Linked DNA regions of Mus musculus. The protein of the gene in region 2 purifies or fractionates together with the protein of the main gene of each other region. This does not show direct contact. Links are inferred from orthologs where the notes say so. Each region holds a gene or a part of one and is shown on either strand. Other genes may lie near its edges.

Region 1 (9,880 bases), on a different chromosome or scaffold from region 2:
CTTCCTTCCTTTCTCTATATTTCTGGTCTGAACACATAGCTGTCAGGCTGTGTGTCACTATGAGGATTTGGCTATCACCAACACTGCAGGGGTCCCAAAGAAAATGAAGAATATGAAGTATATGAAGTATACACCTCAGAAACCCTGTCTCAGAAAAAAAAAAAAAATGACAAAAACCAAAACCAAAACCAAAAAAGCCCTCACTTGATAGCAGACGCCTATCATCTCAGCACTGAGGAGGTCAAAACCGAAAAAGTTTTAAGTTCAAGGCCAGCCTGGGCTATTTAGCAAGAATCTAAAAATAAAAGCCCAAATAAAATAAAATTAAATAGGAACATAAAAAGAAACCCTTCACTTTAAAACTGTATAATCTGAGTACTGGAGAGACCGCTGTGAGGTTCAGAGTACTTGTTGCTCCGAGGATGTAGATGGCAGTTCACAGCCGTCAGGGACTACAGTTCTAGGAGATCTGATACCCTCTTCTAACTTCTAAGGGCATTAGACATATACATGGTACATAGCTATACATATAAGCAAAACACACACACACACACACACATATATATAATATTTTTTATTTAAAAATGCCTAATTTGATAGCTCTTCAAGTCTTGAATGTGTTAATTTTTTTCTACTGTGCAAGGGTAATAATATTTTTATATAACCACCATCCTGCATAATTTAAAAGTAAAACTAAACATTTTGCTCTTTTCACCCCAGAAAATACATTCCTGTACCCTGAGTATACACATACAAATTAAAGAACAGGATACAGATCACATAAATGAGCACACTGATAATTTAATGAATGTTTTTAAGAAGGTCAACTGCTTTAAAATAGGTGCACATGAAAATTTTATTTCCAATGAGTTTCATTTTAGTATGTACGTTCAAGTGGACAGAGATGTTTTTATAAAGTCCTCCTCACTAGCAGGTGGAGTAAGTGGTAAGTGTTGAAGACTCTGGGCGTGCCAGTCATCATCTGACTGCTGCACGCTGTCCACACATATACAATTGTGCTTCTACTGAAAGTAAGTCTATGCCAGCCATGGAGTAATGCATGCACTATGGATAAAGTATGGATACAGTGAGTATTCCCAACCCAAAATCCAAAACCTTTGCCTGCCTAATGACAAGCCACGTGGAAAACTTCATACCATGAAACTTCACTTCAAACTAAAATGTTTAAGCTATATATAAAACATGAACTCGTGTTTAAACTTGAGACTTAGCCCTGAGATGTGTCATTCTGTATGAACAAATATTCCAAAACTAAAAAAAGAAATATAAAACATTTCTAGTCTCAAACATCCTAGAGAAGGCATGCCCAATATGTAATGGATTTCTCTTAAGTCCTTGAATTCAGTTTTCCAAAATGGCTTGTAACCACACCTAATGCTAAGAAATAGAGGAGTGGTACTAGGAGTGTGGTAGTGGCTACTCCTTCAAGGCCCCTGATGCTCTTTGTGTAGCTCTGGCTATCCTGGAACTTGCTCTGTAGACCAGGCTGGCCTTGAATTCCCAGAGATCCACCTGCCTCTGCCTCCCGAGTGCTGGGATTAAAGGTGTGCACCACCATCACTTGGCTAAAAACTTTCCTTTAAACAAACAAACAAACAAACAAACAAACAAAAACCAAACACTCCATAACTCCCACAATATTATCTTAAAGAAACAAATTCTTATCTAGTATCTGACTCCAGCCCCTGAGATTGGCCAGCACACGCCTGTCTAGTGGATCCGGGTTTCCTCCTCTTACCTTCTCCAACCACTGGAACTGCTGATCCTCAGCAATGTAGCAGCTACACTGACATAGAAAAACCTGAAAGGGAATTTCAAGAGTTCTCACATAAAGTGCACACACACCTGGCCCCGTCGTCATATGAGCACCTCCTAAGTACCAGTGATGGACATCGCTCTATGGAGACGGAGTCCCCCAGAGGCCCATGTGTTCACTCAAAAGGGCCAAGAGCCTCTGGTCATTAGCTGTGTCCGTGAAAGGGTGTGACACCCATCTCTCCCTTTTGCTCCTTTGCTCCTGGCCTTGGGTTGGGCTGTGCCGCCCCTGCGCAGTCCTGCCAAGAAGCACTAGCTCTCCCCACCCCAGCAGGCCTGTGAGCAAAGGGTCTGCCCCGGTCACGCACTGGAACTTCGAACCTTGCAAGCCAAAAATCAACCTTTTCTCTCTGTAAGCTGATTGCTTTTTAGGCATTTGTTACAGCAATAGAGGCCGGGACACAGCAGTCTGCTCCTCTGTTGATTCTAACATTTAAGAGTGAGGCCTAAAATTCACTGAGACATTAGAAATGAGTATCAGGACAGAGAATATCCTGGGTGACAGAGGCCTGGCATGAGAATCTGCTTACTATCGAGGGCTCGTGCCTACATGACCATGTTTCAAGAATACTAAGTCAAGTCTCACATACCGAGGGATCTGATTTCAGTTGATAAAACACACAGAAAACATCTGTAGGGGACAGACGGACAGTGTCTGTAGTTCTGCACCATTCATTCCAGAGCTTAGCACAACCGACTTCTTCCCAGACTCCCGAGTTCATAACAAACGCTGACAGGAATGCTGTGGAGAGAAATGTTCCCGTGAACCGGTGTCTGCTGTGTGAACTACCCACTCAAACCAAAGCTCAGCTACCCGAAAACAGTTCACACTGACCCATCTAGAGTTCACACTGACTACTGCTCCTGTGCCCCAGCTTGGTTCCTAGCGCCCTCCCCCTGGTGACTCGCAACTCTAGGAGAGCTGATGCCCTCCTCTAGCTTATACTCCAAAGCAAACCCACACATAAAAATATGCACATATCTGAGTTCGAGGCCAGCCTGGTCTACAAAAGTAAGTTCCAGGACAGCCAGGGCTATACAGAGAAACCCTGTCTCGAAAAAACAAACAAACAAAAAAAAAAGCACGGATTTAAATTTTTTTGTTGATGTTTTGTTTTTTAAGACAAGGTTTCTCTGGGTAGCCTTGGCTGTCCTAGAACTCAACCTGTAGACTAGGCTGGCCTTGAACTCATGAAGTCCACCTGTCCTTCCTCCCATGTGCTGGGATTGAAGGAGTGCACCACCACACCTGGCATAAATTTCTTTTTAAAACATTAAAGACCTTCTAATTGGACCACTTTGGAGCCAACAAAATTTGAGGCTGAGGAGTGAAAAGTCTCCACTCTCCACAAAGAACTACACACAGGGAGTGGACTTGTCCACAGACTCTGCACCAGTCTCACAATGTAAGATTCTTCTAAAAACAATTAGGCAAGCAGACCTTTATATAATGGGCGAGTCTACTGCCTACTTACACAGTCTCTAAGTACTACGGCTCACTTACAGGGCAAGAGCTCCTAACTAGAGTTCTCAAATGATCTCCTCAGAGACTGCAAACCCAGTGAAATTATAAAGATCTCCATGTGTACTGACATACAACACTGATCCAAGTAAACTCACATTACTCTACTTTGAACCTACCAGGTCAATAAGTGCATTCAAAGACCTTAGAACTGAAGTGTTCCAGATGTAAGCAATTACTGCTAGACCTGTGGACACCATAACAAACTGGAAAACAGGGCCTTGAACTGTAATTCTGAAGCTAAGCATATTTCCTTTAAATCTCATTACAAAGATGGAAAGAACAGGCAATCTATCCTACATGAAGTAAAACGACTGTGGCTTTTGAAGACAGGCTTCACGGAGCCCATCTTGGCCTTGGAACTTCTTCATGCTCTCTTCTGCCACTTCCCACCTGCTGAGTGCTCGGATTTCATTGTGCCCAGTTCACATGGTACTGGGATTCAAACCCAAGGTCTTGTGATTGACAGGCAAGCACTCTATCACCTGAGCCACATGCCCAGGACCTGTTGTGAACTTTTTAAAATACGTAAGATACATGCAGAAGGACCTTCGAGTCCATTCTTCCAACGGGACATATACTCCTGACACTGGCACTTACCTGTTGCGTTGCTTCCTACTGCAATTATAAACTTGGAGCAAGGGTGTGTCTCTAGGAGCACAGCCTCCAGAGATGTTTCTGTCTGTCTTCGGAGAAGCCGAACCTCCCTAACAGCAAGAGACAAAAGTGAACAAATATGACTGTGACCACCAGTTCACTGTAAGAGATGGTGATGGGCAGAATGACAGTCAGATTAAGAGATTAAGTGATAGGTGCTATATAGAGCTGGATGTATAAATAGATGGAAGACAGATGAGATCGATGGTAGACATGTTACTTATAGATATTTATATGGGTAGTAGAAAGGTGCTATATTTACATATACATGGATGGATAAATAGGTAGGTGATAGAAGACAGAGATGAGTGGATAGTTGGATGGATAGATGGTGTTAGATAAAATAATCAGTGTCCTTGGTGCCCTTGCAAATGGATAAAACACTTTCTTTTTATGAGTAAAACTACTAACAAACTTCATACTAGCCTGACACACACAATGCCAGCACCCACAAGCCAGACACAATGTAAAAAGACACTAAAAGCATCTCCAACACTCCAGCCCGCAAAATGCTGAATGTGACCAAGACTTCAAACAAACGTTCAAGCATTTAGCTGTGGCAAAAGTAAGCTAAGACTGACCATCAGACAAATCAGGGCTCTCGGGAAGAGTGTGAGAAGTGAGAGGGAGCTGTCAAATGAAACGAACTGCCAAAAGTGTCTGTCGTTGACACAATCACCGGGAAGTGTATTTTAAAAATCTAGGTGAATTTGACTGTGGACTGGTATGATACTGAAAACGTGTTATTAGCAAACGTGGGGTAGGGAAGGTGCTAAGTTGCCAACACAAACATGACGACCCAAGTTCTGATCCGAGAACCCGCCTAAAAGCTCAGAATGGAGGTACTGAAAAAATAGGAGAATCAACAAAGTTTAATTATGTGCATATTTTATGTGTGGGTTTGCTCTAGAGTACAAATAATTGAGACAGCATGCTTAGGAAGACGTGTGGGGAGTCCTAATCGGAAACTCGTAGGGGTGGTGGGAGAGGAAATGAATGTGGTAAAACCTTGACCAAGGAAGGGGCTGGCGTGACCTGACTTCTGTGTCTGAAAGTAGTTTTGAAAGAAATACGGCCGACATGCGGCGTGACCTAAAGTGCACGGTGGAGGGCGAGCATCGCTGGGCTGCCGACGTCCCAGCGTGAACGCAGGGCACCCTGCAGGCCGACACCGCCTGACGCTCGCAGCCTTCCGGGAGCCTGACCTCTTCCGCGCCAGCTGCCGCCGGACCTCCCGGTCCTCCGGCGTGTCCCGCCTGCTCTGCTCCTCCTCCTCTTCTTCCTCCTCAGTCCCAGCTCTGCACGGCGCCTTCACCACCTCGCCAAAGAACGTGGCAGCCATGGTCCCTCAGCTCCGCGCGGCCAGACAGCGCATGCGCGCCGGCCCGCAGTCACGCCCCCTCCAAGCCACGCCCCCACCCCGCCTCCGAGCGAGGATACGCCTTCCGTGGGGGGAGGGGGGAGAACCTAAGAGCTTCCGGTCCGCCGCGAGAAATGTCCCGCGGCGCGCTTCCGTCATCCTGTTAACCGGGGCACGCAGCGCCCGCTCCACACCCGGCGACCCTCCTGCAAGGACCCACCCGTGGAGGAAACCCAGAGCTGCGGGTGAAGCACAGACAGCTCCAGGGTTGATGACTGCAAGCGGATTCAGAGAACATGAGTGAGGCTGCAAGGCTAGGCTTTTTAAAACCTGGCCATATGTAACTCATAGACCGTGTTTTCTACTTTAATGACAGGAAGAATGTGTGTTTCTGGTTTGTGTGCTGGAAGACAAAGAGCTCCACCGAATGCTGCTCCCACGAGAAAAAGGGTAACTGGCACCTCAGTGGGAAATAAAAACACATTCTAGATTTGCTTGTGAGGAAATGGAGACTGCATTGCCCAGGGTAAAATGTTTGGGGATCAGAGGGTCCTTTAAAAATCAAAACTCTTGGAAAGTTGTTTAAAAATCTCTCACAATGTAGAAAAACGATGCTTCAAGTCTACTGGGAGGAAAAAGCATATCAATCTTAACATACATACTCACTGGTTAATAAAAAGCAGATGAATGCCGGGCAGTGGTGACACACACCTTTAATCCCAGCACCCGGGAGGCAGAGGCAGATGGATTTCTGAGTTCAAGGCCATCATGGTCTACAGAGGGAGCTCCAGGACATCCTTTGGCTACACAGAGAAACCCTGTCTAGAAAAACCAAAGAAATAAATAAAAAGCAGATGTATACCAACTAGAACACTTTGTGTGTAACTATAGCACACACACAAGATTCTCAGTGTGGTGTCTTTAAGACTCAGATTCCAGGGTTAGTAGAAGCGAGCTGAAGAGCAGATGTCCCTGGCTGTCTCTTTGCTGGTTTCTTAAGCGGATACTTTGCTGATAAAGATACTCGATTTGATTTCTCACTCACACATGAAAAAAGCACCAACAGAAATCTGAAGCGTGTTGGTAAATCATAGGGAAGTGGTGGCTTGTCGGCACACATTTGCAGGAGGGATTTTACTACAGTGTTACTCCATTCAGTCACAATAAAGAGACCAAACACTTTAAAGGGTAAATAAAAATATGTTCCAATTAAAGGCCAGAAAGGGATTCCATTATAAAAGGCTGGACAGGATCAGACAGCAAGATGTAACTTCAGATCTTCAATTCACACTGCCAAAATTCACAGGTCTTCATTAGACTGATATATTTTCATTTCATGGCATTTCTTGAGGATATAATTGCTCAATAAGTAATTCTATGACATTTGGGATTGGACATTTAAATTTTTCATTAAAGCTCAAAATAAATAAATAAATAAACCAAACCCATGCACCAAAGAGGAGGAAGGGAACTCTTCCTGTGCTTGTAGCAAGATGCTGAAGATTTCAGAGTGAGTTACAAAAAGACACACACTATGTTAGAATTCTGAGTTGTGTTTTTGTTTTAAGCAGGCATGCAACCACAAACAAGTTTCTCAAGTAATCTGGACACTTTGGCCATACATATAACTGAAAAAAATGTGCATTACTGTTAATGAAAAATACACACCCCTAGGTTCCATTGTTTTTTTGATTTATACATGCAAGTTATGCCTAATAGTCACAGCTATTTTTAATTGGAAAAACAAACTGTTGAAGACAAGTTTCTCCAGTAACATGATAAAAAGACTTGACAGTACATTCACAGGTCACATCTGGTGACCTTAATGTCAACAAATAGCCATGAACAACGAACTAAAGTCCACATCCTCTGTAGGCAAAACATTTGTAGCACAACGACCAGAGGCCAGACTCCCCGACACTTGGCTTGTTAGTGAGCCTGAAATGAACCTGCAGTGTCACATTCTAACTTCTAAGGAACAGCAGAGAAACGTAAGAAATAGGATCCAACTGCATCACCTTAAGCGATGAGTGCATCTTGTTCTAATTTCTGACCACAAGTCTGGCCTTTACATCTTTGCTGCTACATAGAAGAAATAAAGTGTAATAGTCACATTGAGAACTTTCTTAGAAAGATACATTCCCTGAATTACTCATACCAGGTAGCTATCATTCAGTATGAATTCCAATGTTATAAATAAGACATTAATGACAGTCTTTCCCACACTCCTCTTCAGAAGTCAGTAACACCCCAGGATTTACTCTCTCAGTTCCCAGGGATGTGCACTACATAAATCAGACCCAGTTAAAATTCAGCAGTCACATGGGCTTACTGCTCCCTCCTTTGGAAATGGCCTAGTTTTCAGTCTGTGAGGGCAAACCATTGAAATTAGCATTGTTTCCCCATATATCCCACATGCTTTTATTTCTCTAGAGGACCAAGCTGCGTCAAGCCTTTGCTTTACATTCAGTGGGTCCTTCTGCTTTCTCACCTGACAACACAATCCACATCTCCTACCTCCTTGGAACACCCTATGCTGTGCTGTGTAGAGCTAACTGGAAGCCATCATCCCACTTTGACCCAGAGTAATGGCTTTCACAAAATTGTTCAAAAGGTGCTGGGACGGCTTATGGTTGGGAGCGGACTTCAGGGCAGGCATTGGAGCTGCTGACAATTCCCGGTAACCTTTCTACCTCGGAGTAGGCTGGGCTTTTTCCTTCCGGGATCTGAACCGCCTAAGATATAGCTCCTTTTCGTTCTCTGAATGTATGGGTGCATCATCCTCTTTATAAACACTCAGTAACTTTTTCTTAGCTGCAGCAGAGGCTTGTCGATAGGGCAGTTTTCTGCTGATCGTCCTAATGCCGACATTCTCTGGTCCTGAGACCACTTCTTTTAGATTACACATCATCTTTATTTTATTTGCAGCAACGGTAGCACATCTGCGGGGGACTTTCTCAGGCACCGTTTTTGCTTTCAGGGTGTCACTATGCATCTGTACTGCATCCTTCTCATTAAGCATACATGGTCTCATTTTTGTATGGGGTTCTCTGTCTTTACGAACAGATTCTGAAAAATGAGTGAAAATTCATGTAAATACAGAAATCTTGTCACAAGACTGTACTATATACATTCCTCAACAACAGCCCTGAGCCGGTCTTAATTATGTGAACAATTAAAAAGCTGGTTTGACAGGCTTATGGCTTCCATATGCTTCCCTATACGGACCAACCACTGTCATTTCTAAGTAATGGCTTGCAAGAATGAAGTGAAAACTTTCAGCCTCATAAAGCTACTCACCTAAAATGTTTGGATTTAAGAGGAGCACAGCCTGGTGGTGGCGGCGGCGGTACAAATCTTTAGTTCCAGCACTGGAGAGACAGAGGTAGGCAGATCTGAGTTTGAGACCAGCCTGCTCTACAGTTTCAGGACAGCCAGGGCTACACAGAGAAATTATGTCTAGGAAATCAAAGAGAGAAAAGGAGAGAAGAGAATCATGTGTTCCCACTTCTGAGCTTCATTTTTAATTGTACTTCAAATTACTGTGAAATATTTTGTAGCACTCTGAAGTAACTTCCCAGCACCCTAGTAAGGAAGCACTTCCTGACAATGGAGTCCAGCACCAGCATCTCCTTTATTCAAGTGGTTAAATTGCCGAGTCGGTACAAAAGGAAACTCTACTGACTCGACAAAGTTTAGCATGGCCTCAACCTTACCTTCTCTCCAACATCGCTTTACAGAGCTGGGAACCCACAACCTCAAGCTCATGGCAGACGCAGAGTCCTTCTGCCTGCCTGTGTGTGGTTAGCAGACAGAGTCCTTCTGCCTGCCTGTGTGTGGTTAGCAGACAGAGTCCTTCTGCCTGCCTGTGTGTGGTTAGCAGACAGAGTCCTTCTGCCTGCCTGTGTGTGGGTGTCTTAGCAATCCACAAGCATTGGCACCTGTACTATGGACTCACGGAAGGGTTCCTTTAAGGAAGTACATTTCTGCTGAGCTAAATATTGTGAAGGGGGTTGTCAGAACCTGAAGCTAGGCAAACAGCCCACTGAAGAGGCAGACAGGTCCCTGTCACAGATCTCAGCAATGTTCAAGGATGGCTGGAAAGCAAGAGATGTCTGCCAGACATGAAAGCTCAACTCTTGTATTTCTGCAGAAGTCTCAAAGACACAAGTTTCAAGTGCTTTGATGTATCTATCTGCTACCAGCTGGAGTTTGGGGATTTCTTAAAATCAGTCTTACAGTCATGAAGAGTCAGACATGAATGTAATAGCCACATCAATACAGAGGCTGTAGAACACCAAAGTAAAAAACACATAGGCATCTGGAGGACTTGGCAGCCTTTGTCTTTCTTACTGAGTCCCAGAAAAAGGCAACGTTTTGGTCAGCTATCATCAAGCAAGCTTGGCCTGGCTGCTTGCACATGTCACCTGACTATAAATAAATATAGTTTTGCACCAGGTGTGGTGGCGGCACATAACCTTTAATCTCAGCACTCCCATTTGGAA
Region 2 (9,852 bases):
ATAAAGCCCTGATAGTAATGCCACTGAAAAGCTGTGCAATATTTTTACCATTTAACTGTTCCCACTGAGTTTCATTGTTTATTTTGATGTCTTTCATGGGTTCTCATGTAAATTAATTTTTAAAATATTTATTATGTGCATGGATGTTTTGCCTGTATGTCTGTCTTTGTAGCACCTGTGTGTCTGATGCCCTTGGAGAACAGAAGAGGACACCAGATTCCCAAGACTGCAGTTACAGACAGTTGTTAGCTGCTATGTGGGTGCTGGGAAATAAATCCCAGTCCTCTAGAAAAACTGCTAGTGCTCTTAACCACTGAGCCATCCCTCTGTCTCCTAAATCTTCTAGTAAAAATGTTTAAGTTATTTTACAAGAACTCAACAAGCATGTGTTTAATATTACTGCCACTTTGATGGGATGCTGCTCCTAAGACAGGCTAGCTAAGACTCTTCCTTCAGTGCTGTACCTTTATAAAGACATGTCAAACCACATGCTTAAGAGACCCACAGTTAGGACCCGACCACGGTCACTGTCCTGCTAAGTACTGTCTAAAGCAGGGTCTGAGGGCCCCAAAGCCTACAAGCCCTGCCACAGCCACCCACTGAGCACTGTGAACAGATCGCCATCAGAGAGGGAGAACATGAAAACGGCCTTCCTGTGCAGTCTCCCTGTACAATTGGGGAAAAAAAATGACATTTCCTGGAGGGGTTCGGTCGTTGGTGGGGCTCAGCAGGACTAGCTGGTGGCTAGCCTATTAATTTTCTTTAAAAACTGTCTGTGCATGTTTGCCCTGGTTCCCACAGAGGCCAGAAGAGGGCATCTGATTCCCTGGAAATGGAGTTACAGGTGGTTATGAGCCTCCATGGGGCTGCTGGGAACTAAACCAGGGTCCTCAGGAAGAACAAATACTATAACTGCTGAGCCACCTCTCCAGCCCTCAGCCTATTAATTTTACTACAGATCAAATTATGACTCCAAGAGGCCATATCCTGTGTCTTTCCTACTAATCCAAAATGGACTATGTATGTGCCCAGACCTCAGCACCAGGATGCCAGAATGCCACTCTACTGCAGGAAAAGTCAGCATTTTCAGTTAGGATGGAAATACACTGGAAGTCACATCGACCTTGTATTGTATGAGCAGAAAAGTGATGTGCCAGGGGCAGACGACTGGAACAGGTGTCTAAAGAAGGAAATCACAGAAGCAGGTAGGACAGGGAGCTGGAGAACACAAACAAAAGCAGCCACCACGAAGTGCCAGAGCGAGCTGGGCACACGTGCGTGTTCTCGGGTACTGACTCCCTTGCTCCGACTGTGTAACACAAGTACTGTTCACTCTGGTCACCGACTGGAACGCTGAGCACCTGTCACAAGACGTCGTCCAGGGGACAACAGAGCTGGGACCCAAAACCAAGCAGCCACAGCACGTCATCCTTTCTCTCTCCGTCTCTGCCTCTCTCCCTCCCTTTCTGATTCTTATTGACAATAAGAGTTTTCTCAAACCTCTACACACACAGTAATCTCATAAAAACACAAAGCCAGAAACCACAACATATAAACAAAAGATCTCTAAGTTAGAAAAAAATGAAGTTCCACTGAGCTTGTCTGGCCTGCCCTTACGTGTAGCGTCTAGGTTATGGACGGGGGCTTTTGTCCACTTCCTGCCTAAGCACTGGTACCCCATCTGGCTTGTGCCGGCTCTGTGCCTGCTGCCTGCCACAGGCTTTGCAAGTTCATGTTTGCTTTAGCACTGCTGTGTCAGGAAAGAAGGCCTTGTTTCCTCGGTGTATACCCACCATCCTTTCTCCCCCCCCCCCCCCCCCCCCCCGACCCCGTCTCTCAGGGGTGGGGTGGGACGGGGTGAGGGAGACTTTTCAAGACAGGCTTTCCATGTAGCCCTGGCCGTTCTGGAACTCACAGGACAGTTCTGCCTCCCAAGTGCTGGGATTAAAGGCATGCACCACCGCCACCCAGCCACCATCCTTTCTTAAGGAGGTGTGTGTGTGTGTGTGTGTTTCATGTATGCCAGGTCTGACATTCGGAGATTCTCCTGTGTGTGTGTGTGTGTGTGTGTGTGTGTGTGCGTGTGTGCACGTGTGTGTGTGTGCTCGAGTGTGTGTGTGAGTGTTTCATGTAGGCCAGAGTGTGTGTGTGTGTGTTTCATGTAGGCCAGAGTGTGTGTGTGTGTGTGTTTCATGTAGGCCAGAGTGTGTGTGTGTGTGTTTCATGTAGGCCAGAGTGTGTGTGCGTTTCATGTGTGTGTGCGTGCGTGCATGTGTGTGTGTGTGTGTGTGTGTGTGTTTCATGTAGGCCAGAACTGACATTCAGTGGTGCTTCCCCTGCTGCTCTCCGCCTTATGCTCTGAGGCAGGCTCTCACTGGCACAGTGACCATCAACTGGCTAGGGTGACCTGCCCTTAAATGGGTGTTGGGGATCCAAACTCAAGTCATACTTGCCCAGTCCTTTGTTAACCACTGCTATATAAATGCTATATTTTCGTGTCTCCTGCAGTCAGTAGCATCGAGAGGTCAACGGCTGAGTTACGAGCAGTAAGAATCCTACTAAACTAAGGGCTAGGGCTATAGATCTCAGAGGTAGAGCGCTTGCTTCCCATTATACGACACCCTAGGTTCAAACTCCAGGGCTAGCTCCCTCATCAAACGAGCCCAGAGAATCCTACCAATAGTCCCAGACACTAGGAGGACCCCCTTCCTGCAAGCCCGCATGCTGTTATTCTGCTACAAGAGTTCTCCAGCTACAAGGAACATGCAAGAATCAAATACACATTTACAGCCTTCCAGGGAGAGCACCTTGGAGAGAATCCACAAGAAGCGCTTCGTGAGAACGAGCGAGACACAGCCCCAGCTCCCCGACATACCCTTTCCGGAGAAGATCGTGACTCTCGAAAGGCCCGCTGGCTGAGAGCTCCGCGACTGGAATACTGTCCTTCAGCTCCGACCCAAGACCTCTGGCGTTCTACAACACAAAGTCAATGCGCTGGTTAGAGGACAGAGGCGCTAAGAACCGTGCCCTTAAGGAACCCAGGATCTACAGAGAGAGCCTTAAGTGCTGCGGTAGCCAGCGCACGGGGTACATTGAGCACCGCATCCGAAGGTAGAAAGACTCCTGCTCTGACTTCTAAATGTGGCAGCAGGGAGAGCATCGTATGAAGAAAAAGAAAAGGAATGAAGACAAACTACGGCCAGTTTGAGATGACTGACATGATTGAAGGGGTAAAATTCAAAGGTGGACAGTCGTATGTACCAAAAAACTTGAGCTTTACCCTAATCTTGGTATGATCAGCCAGATCTGCTTCACTGGAAAGAACCTTCCCATTGGCTGTAGTGTTTTAACCCAATGAAAAGGCTGAGGACAGAACCCCAGGGAACAGGCAGGTCAAATATAATACCAGAGGTGGAATTACGGCATGACACCTAGACATGAGGTCATAGGATCTGACAGAAAGGGGGAGGAGCTGTCTTCTATGATTAAAAATAAATGCAGCTAGTTGAAACAGTGCAAAAGGCTAAAAACAGCTCCTTTGGAACTGTCACTGTCACCCGACATCTGACAGCACAAACTGCTTAGATACAGGTGACCTGGTCTCTGTTACTAGTCTAGACCAAACAATTCTGAGAAAGCAGCTAGTTGATAGACTTACTTCACCTGTGTATTTGACCTGGCAGCTCGCATGGGGGGGAATGTCAGCAGCCCCAACTGGGTCTTGCTTGAGCCTCACCAGTCTCCCCAATTCTGCACAAGGTTTCCCCAAAACACACCACCTCACCAACAAAATCGCTAACAATCTCCTTCTAGACCTCATTAACATCTGAGAAATAGAGTTCGGGGCTCCAACTCTATAATTCAAGGGCCTGGTACTGTTGGTGTCCCCACTCTTCACACAGGAAACCACGGGGATCAGGAAGACAACAGGTAATCTATCCTGGACAGTCACCTACTCCGTGACTGCCAGTCAAGCACAGACTTCCAGGACTGGCCCTGTCTATGATTATAGCTGTCCCAATGCTGACTGACACCACTACAGTACAGTGTTCTCCTGGGGACAGATGTACTGAAAAGCACCAAAGGAGAAGTTTCGCTACACACAAAGGGGAAATTCTGAACTCTAGTATTGCTGTTACTATCGTCCCGGTGTCCTTTTGTAAAATATGAGGACTCCTTAAGGTTCTAGTTCAGTGTCAGATACAAGTTAAGTCTATGAAGACCTAAAAACCATTCATATTTCAGCGTTTCTCACATTCCTTTACACTGGTTAGCGGTCTCTGCCAATCCAAGCTTTCTGGACGTGGGCAGATGGCGTGCGGAGGAGTGCCATAGTGACTCAGGACTATGCTCAAAGAGAAACAGAAAGTGGGGCAGGAGGAGAGGCCAGAAGGGGAGGAGAGGCCAGAGGGGGATGCGAGGGAGTTCAAGCACTAACTATACGAACAAAACGGGAGCGACACATGGCACACAGAGAGATGTTTGTAAACCGAGGCTGAGCTGTACGAATGCAACGGGCGGTCGTGCGCCTTGGCGGGTGTAGGGGTGCAGTCACCCTAAGGGAGAAGGCACGTGGCGTGTCCCAACACGCACACAAGGCTTGGCTTTCGGAGGTGCCCAGTGCATGGAGTGCATCCGCCTCCACTGCTGGGAAGGGGCGCTGTGGCCTGGGAGGCCCGGGGAACTGACCCGCGCCGTCCGATCGGAGCCAGGACCACCCGAGAGAGTGCAGCCCGGGTCCCGCCCACGTCAGACACCCGCCGGGACCGGGCAGTCGCGATCGTGCCCGCACCACGAGTACCCGCCGCGACGGCGGCCCTCCGCGCTCACTCACCATCTTTGAAACAGCTCTGTGAGATCTATAAACCTGCTCGAGTCCGCCGGCCAAACCGCTCACTTCCGTTTCCGGGGCCGAGACGCCCACCCCTCCGCCCCATCCGCCGGAAGTGCGTCCTTCCGGCCAGGAAGGAAAGGGGGCGTGGGAGGAGCAGGGAGTAGCGTTGGGCCGGGGCTCCCACGCTCGCTGTCCCCCGGTGAGCGAGGGCCAAGGGCGCAGCTCGGGTGTGCACTGGCCCTGGCCTCGCGGGACGGTGTTAGATGGGCGTGTGCAAATGCACAGACTTCCCACGGGCCATCCAAGGACGCACGGTGGTGATTTACATAAAGTCCTTCTGCTGAGTCAAAAGTGGGACAACAGGCCTTTACGGTTTTATAAATCGAAGGTCCGAGGCTGGGTATGTGTAGAACCTAAGGAAAGGACCAAGCTAGCTTAGGCACCGAGCCTCAGGCAGAGGCGGGCTCCAGGGTTGTGGGGTGTGGATATTTCCGAACTTGGGGGGCAATCACAACCTGAGTCCCAAGTCAGGTCTGGCCACCGGTTCGTTCATAATAAGCAACTTAAAAGCGGGAGGCAGAAGGCGGCGATATGGTCAGTGTGGCCAGACTGGAAGACAGCAAAGACTTGGGAGGTTCCCTGGGACTAAGTCCTTTTCGGTGACATGGGGGTGGTGGTGGTGACAATTTTAAGTCAGGGTCATCAGAGCTAACGTATGTCAGGCTCTTAGAATTACAAATAACGTGGTTCTACATGTTGTACATGAGTCATCTCCCTAAGTCTTTTCATTAAGCTTTTTTTTTTTTTTTTGTTATTCGAGACAGGGTTTCTCTGTGTAGCCCTGGCTGTCCTGGAACTCACTCTGTAGACTAGGCTGGCCTCGAACTCAGAAATCCGCCTGCCTCTGCCTCCCAAGTGCTGGGATTAAAGGCGTGCACCACCACGCCCGGCTTTTCATTAAGCTTTTTAAAATTAATTTTTAAAGGATTCCTCTAAAACGTTTTGTTTGACTGTCTGCGTGTGCATCAGGTGTGTGCCTGGTGCCCTCACACTCTTTTGCAACATTAGCGGTGTTTGCCAACACGAAAGAGTCTTAGGGTCTTATAGGACTGGAGTTATAGGTAGATGGTTGGGAACCACCCTCTGGGTGCTGGGAAAGGGACGCAACAGATGCTCTTAACCGCGGAGCCATCTCTCCAGCCCTGTTGCTCACATTATGAGAGTATGGCATAGCACGAAGGAGAAGAAGACAAAACAGGTCTTAGCTGTGCTGGCCGGAGGATGAGGCGGCTGGTCACTTGGGTTCTGCAGTCAGAAGCAGAGAGAAATGAATGTCGTCCTCTTGTTTTTGTCTTGTTACTCAGCCTAGGACCCCAGCCTATGGGATGGCGCCTCCCACATTCAGGGTACATCATTTTTAAAATGATGTAAATGACTTCACTGATATGCCCAGACTGTCTCCTCTCAGAGAACCCGGGTTCCTTTCACATCACTCTCATCAGGAGGCTCAAAGCCATCTGTAACTCAGCTTAAGACGATCCAATGCCCTCTTCTGGCCTTGAACTGTACTCATGTACACAGATACATAAAACCAAAGACCATCACCATACCAACATGTCTTTGGCCTGATCCCATGAGCCCTTTCTTTGTTAAGTGCATTTAAGATATCTATTTACATATCTGTTCCTCCAGGAAAATTCCAGCATCTCACACGTAAGGAAATTCCTTTTTTTATAATTTCATTGCCCAGTACTAAAAGAAATGTTCAGCAAGTGTTCAGGACTGACTCTGTATCACTCAGCATGTGCAGTCAACAAACATTAAATGATTATGTTTTTGAAGTAGGATTCCAGTAGCTCACACTGCCCACCAGCTCACTCTGTGTCTGAACGTGAGTGTGTACTCATAATCCTCCTGTCTCTGTCTCCTGAATCTACCATTACAGGCATGGGCCATGATGCCCTGAGATTTTTTTTTCTTAAGCTGCAGTTATAAGGGCTAGAAAAATGAAAAAAGATCTATGTTCAGTTCCCAGCATTTTCTGATTTGGGCTCAATATGCACACACACACACACACACACACACACACACCCAGTTCATTGTTTGCATGGGCAGGTCTAATAATTCTCCTTTACATACGGTGATGGTTTGTATATGCTTGGCCCAGGGAGTGGCACTATTAGGAGGTGTGGCCTCGTTGGAGTGGGTGTGGTCTTGTTGGAGTAGGTGTGTCACTGTGGGCATGGGCTTAAGACCCTCACCCTAGCTGCCTGGAAGCCAATCTTCTGTTAGCAGCCTTCAGATGAAGATGCAGAACTCTCAGCTCCTCCTGCACCACGCCTGTCTGGATGCTGCTGTGTTCTTGCCTTGATGATAATGGACTGACTCTCTGAACCTGTAAGCCAGCCCCAATTAAATGTTGTCCTTTTTTTTTTTAAGATTTATTTATTATATGTAAGTACATTGTAGCTGTCTTCAGACACTCCAGAAGAGGGAGTCAGATCTCATTACGGATGGTTGTGAGCCACCATGTGGTTGCTGGGATTTGAACTCCGGACCTTCGGAAGAGCAGTCCGGTGCTCTTACCCACTGAGCCATCTCACCAGCCCAAATGTTGTCCTTTTAAGAGTTGCCTTGGTCTTGGTGTTTGTTCACAGCAATGAAACCCTAACTAAGACATACTTTACTACCAAATGAGCCAGCTCTTATCCTTTGACTATTGGCCCAGTGAGTCTTAAAGTCGTTGCCTTAAGTAATGGTGGCTTAAGTCGTGGTGGCCAAACACAGGACCATTTATTTTAACACTTAAAGCAATACAGTGTAGTATTTGGAGCAACTCTGAACTCAGGCTGGGTCCTTGGGTATATTTACTTAACATGTCTCCTTGGGTATATTTACTTAACATGTCTTTGTTTTCTCACGTCTACAACGAGGCGACGGTAACATCTATCTCAAACAGTTATATAGTTGTATAGTACTCTAGTACTATAAAAGCTAGCCCACAGGAAGGAAGCCTCCAGCTTGATTTCTCTTAGATCTGAAGATGGAAGTGTGTGGTATCTTCATCAATAAGCTCTTAATGTCTAGTTCTGGTGGACAACCAAGAGGAATGACAGGACATGAACTGTTGGGGGGAGGGGGTCATCTGCAACCTTGTTTTTGAACAATGCATAAAAAGGTATCCCACACCCGGCACTGGGATTTTTTTTTTTTTTAAAATGACCCATGGCTTCTAAGAGCAGTCTTCTCCAGCCATGCAGGATATCTGCAAGCTCTTTTTAAAAGCATATCCATTGCCATTGACTTACACGACAGTAGGCTTCCCTGTGGCTTTTTTATACAGCCTTTGATTTAGGTGGCCCCTACCTCATCCTTTTGCCTCCTCCAACCTCTCCCTCATCCCTATTAGAACGCTTCCACGCCCGTATCTGTCCTCTGCTTCCAGGTTACCCTCGTTCCACTGTCCCCGCCTCTTTTGGGCATCCCCGCCTCAGTGGCCCCTTTGTAGCTTACAGGACTCTGCACGTTCTCTCAGTTAAACGCACACATCTGAACAGTCAAGACTAGGATCCACTGGGAGGGACACATGCTGTCTGTCTTTCTGTGCCTGGCTTACCTCGGATAGTATAATAGCTTTTAGCTCCATGCATCTAAAATGCAGATTTCATAATTTCATTTTTTTTCCTTTATGGCTAGATAAAATTCCGTTGTGCGTATGTGCCACATTTACATTACCCATTTATCCCCCGGTGGACTCACAGGCCGGTTGCATTTCCTAGCTATTACGAGCAGGAAGCCCAGATGAGCAAGTATCTCTGGAAGATAGAGACCATTGGGTGTTGCCAGTAATGGTCTGGCTGGATGCTGTGATAGTTCTATTTCCAGATGAAAGGCTTCTCATTTTATTTTATATTTATTGAGTGTTCTGCTCACATGTATGTATACATACCATATGCATGCCTAATACCCACAGAGTCCAGAGGAGGGCGCTGGATTCCCCGGAACTGGAGTGACAGGTGGTTGTGAGCTGCCACGGGGGTGCTGGGAGTTGAGCCTGGGGCTTCTCTAAGAGCAAGTGCCCTTAACCACTGAGCCATCTCTCCAGTTCTTATTTCTAGACTTTTGAGGAATCCCCACGCTGATTTATTTCCACAGTGGCCACAGTCTCTTGACGATCTGTCACCAGTTGCAGTCATTTGTTTGGTTGTCTGGACAGGGTCTCACTGTGTAGCCCTGGAAGTCCTGGAATTCACTACAGAGACCCCACTGACCTTAGATTCTCAGAGATCCCAGCCTGCCTCTACCTCCAGAGTGCTGGCATTAAAGACCAGAGCCCCCATGCTGGGCCTGTCCTTTGTCGTCTTGAGCTCAGCTGTTCCAAGTGAGCTGAAGTGGACTCTCTAGTCGCTTAAATTTGCATTTCCCTAGGGGCTGCTGATGCTGAAAACTTTTAAAAGTGTTTATCAGTCATTTCACTCCTTTTGAGAAGGTCTATAGTTCTTTTTTAAAAATATTAAAATGGTAATTAAACTACTAAAGCAACTTTATACATCAGCTCACTCCGTTCCTGTGTCTCCACATTTGTGCTGATCCTCCTGTGTCTCCACATTTGTGCTGATCCGTCTCCTTCAGTTGTTACAGTTTAGTTCATCTGTCCAATATAGGATTGTATCATTTTATCAATCATTGTATCAATTTCATTTTATTCTCCAGAATTACTCCCGTCAGAGCACAGGTTTTCCACTGTAAGCTGGTACCGGTTCCCTCCTTTGGCTGTTGGCTTGTCTGTGTTACCTCTCAATCCGTGATGGTTTTTCATTTGGCTTTTGCTTCTGTCCTAGAGATTGAACTCATGATCTCAGTGATGCTGAGCAGGCCCTGGACAACTGAGCTGCATCCCCAGCCCCTGTCAGGGGCAGGCTTCTGATAGAGAAGTGTTATGAATTTAGACATAACCAAATCTATCCATACTTTCCCTCCAAAACGTCCAAACATTCCTGCCTGTGTCATGCCACTGT

What was found.
Region 1: the proteins of Pomp (region 2) and Psmg1 purify together in Homo sapiens (affinity purification with mass spectrometry; 4 studies listed by BioGRID and IntAct, with this or other methods). This does not show direct contact. The link is inferred for Mus musculus from reciprocal best matches to the Homo sapiens genes POMP and PSMG1.

What each region holds. Positions count from the first base shown.
Region 1 is NC_000082.6:95,985,534-95,995,413, forward strand, and holds the start of Psmg1 (proteasome assembly chaperone 1), read right to left. Parts: upstream 5,428-9,880; 5' UTR 5,358-5,427; coding exon 5,221-5,357; intron 4,066-5,220; coding exon 3,959-4,065; intron 2,579-3,958; coding exon 2,427-2,578; intron 1,823-2,426; coding exon 1,760-1,822; intron 1-1,759. Other genes in the region: Brwd1 (bromodomain and WD repeat-containing protein 1), read right to left, coding at 8,065-8,444. UniProt on the Homo sapiens protein: Chaperone protein which promotes assembly of the 20S proteasome as part of a heterodimer with PSMG2.
Region 2 is NC_000071.6:147,855,674-147,865,525, reverse strand, and holds the start of Pomp (proteasome maturation protein), read right to left. Parts: upstream 4,899-9,852; 5' UTR 4,838-4,898; coding exon 4,835-4,837; intron 2,974-4,834; coding exon 2,876-2,973; intron 1-2,875. UniProt on the Homo sapiens protein: Molecular chaperone essential for the assembly of standard proteasomes and immunoproteasomes. Degraded after completion of proteasome maturation. Mediates the association of 20S preproteasome with the endoplasmic reticulum.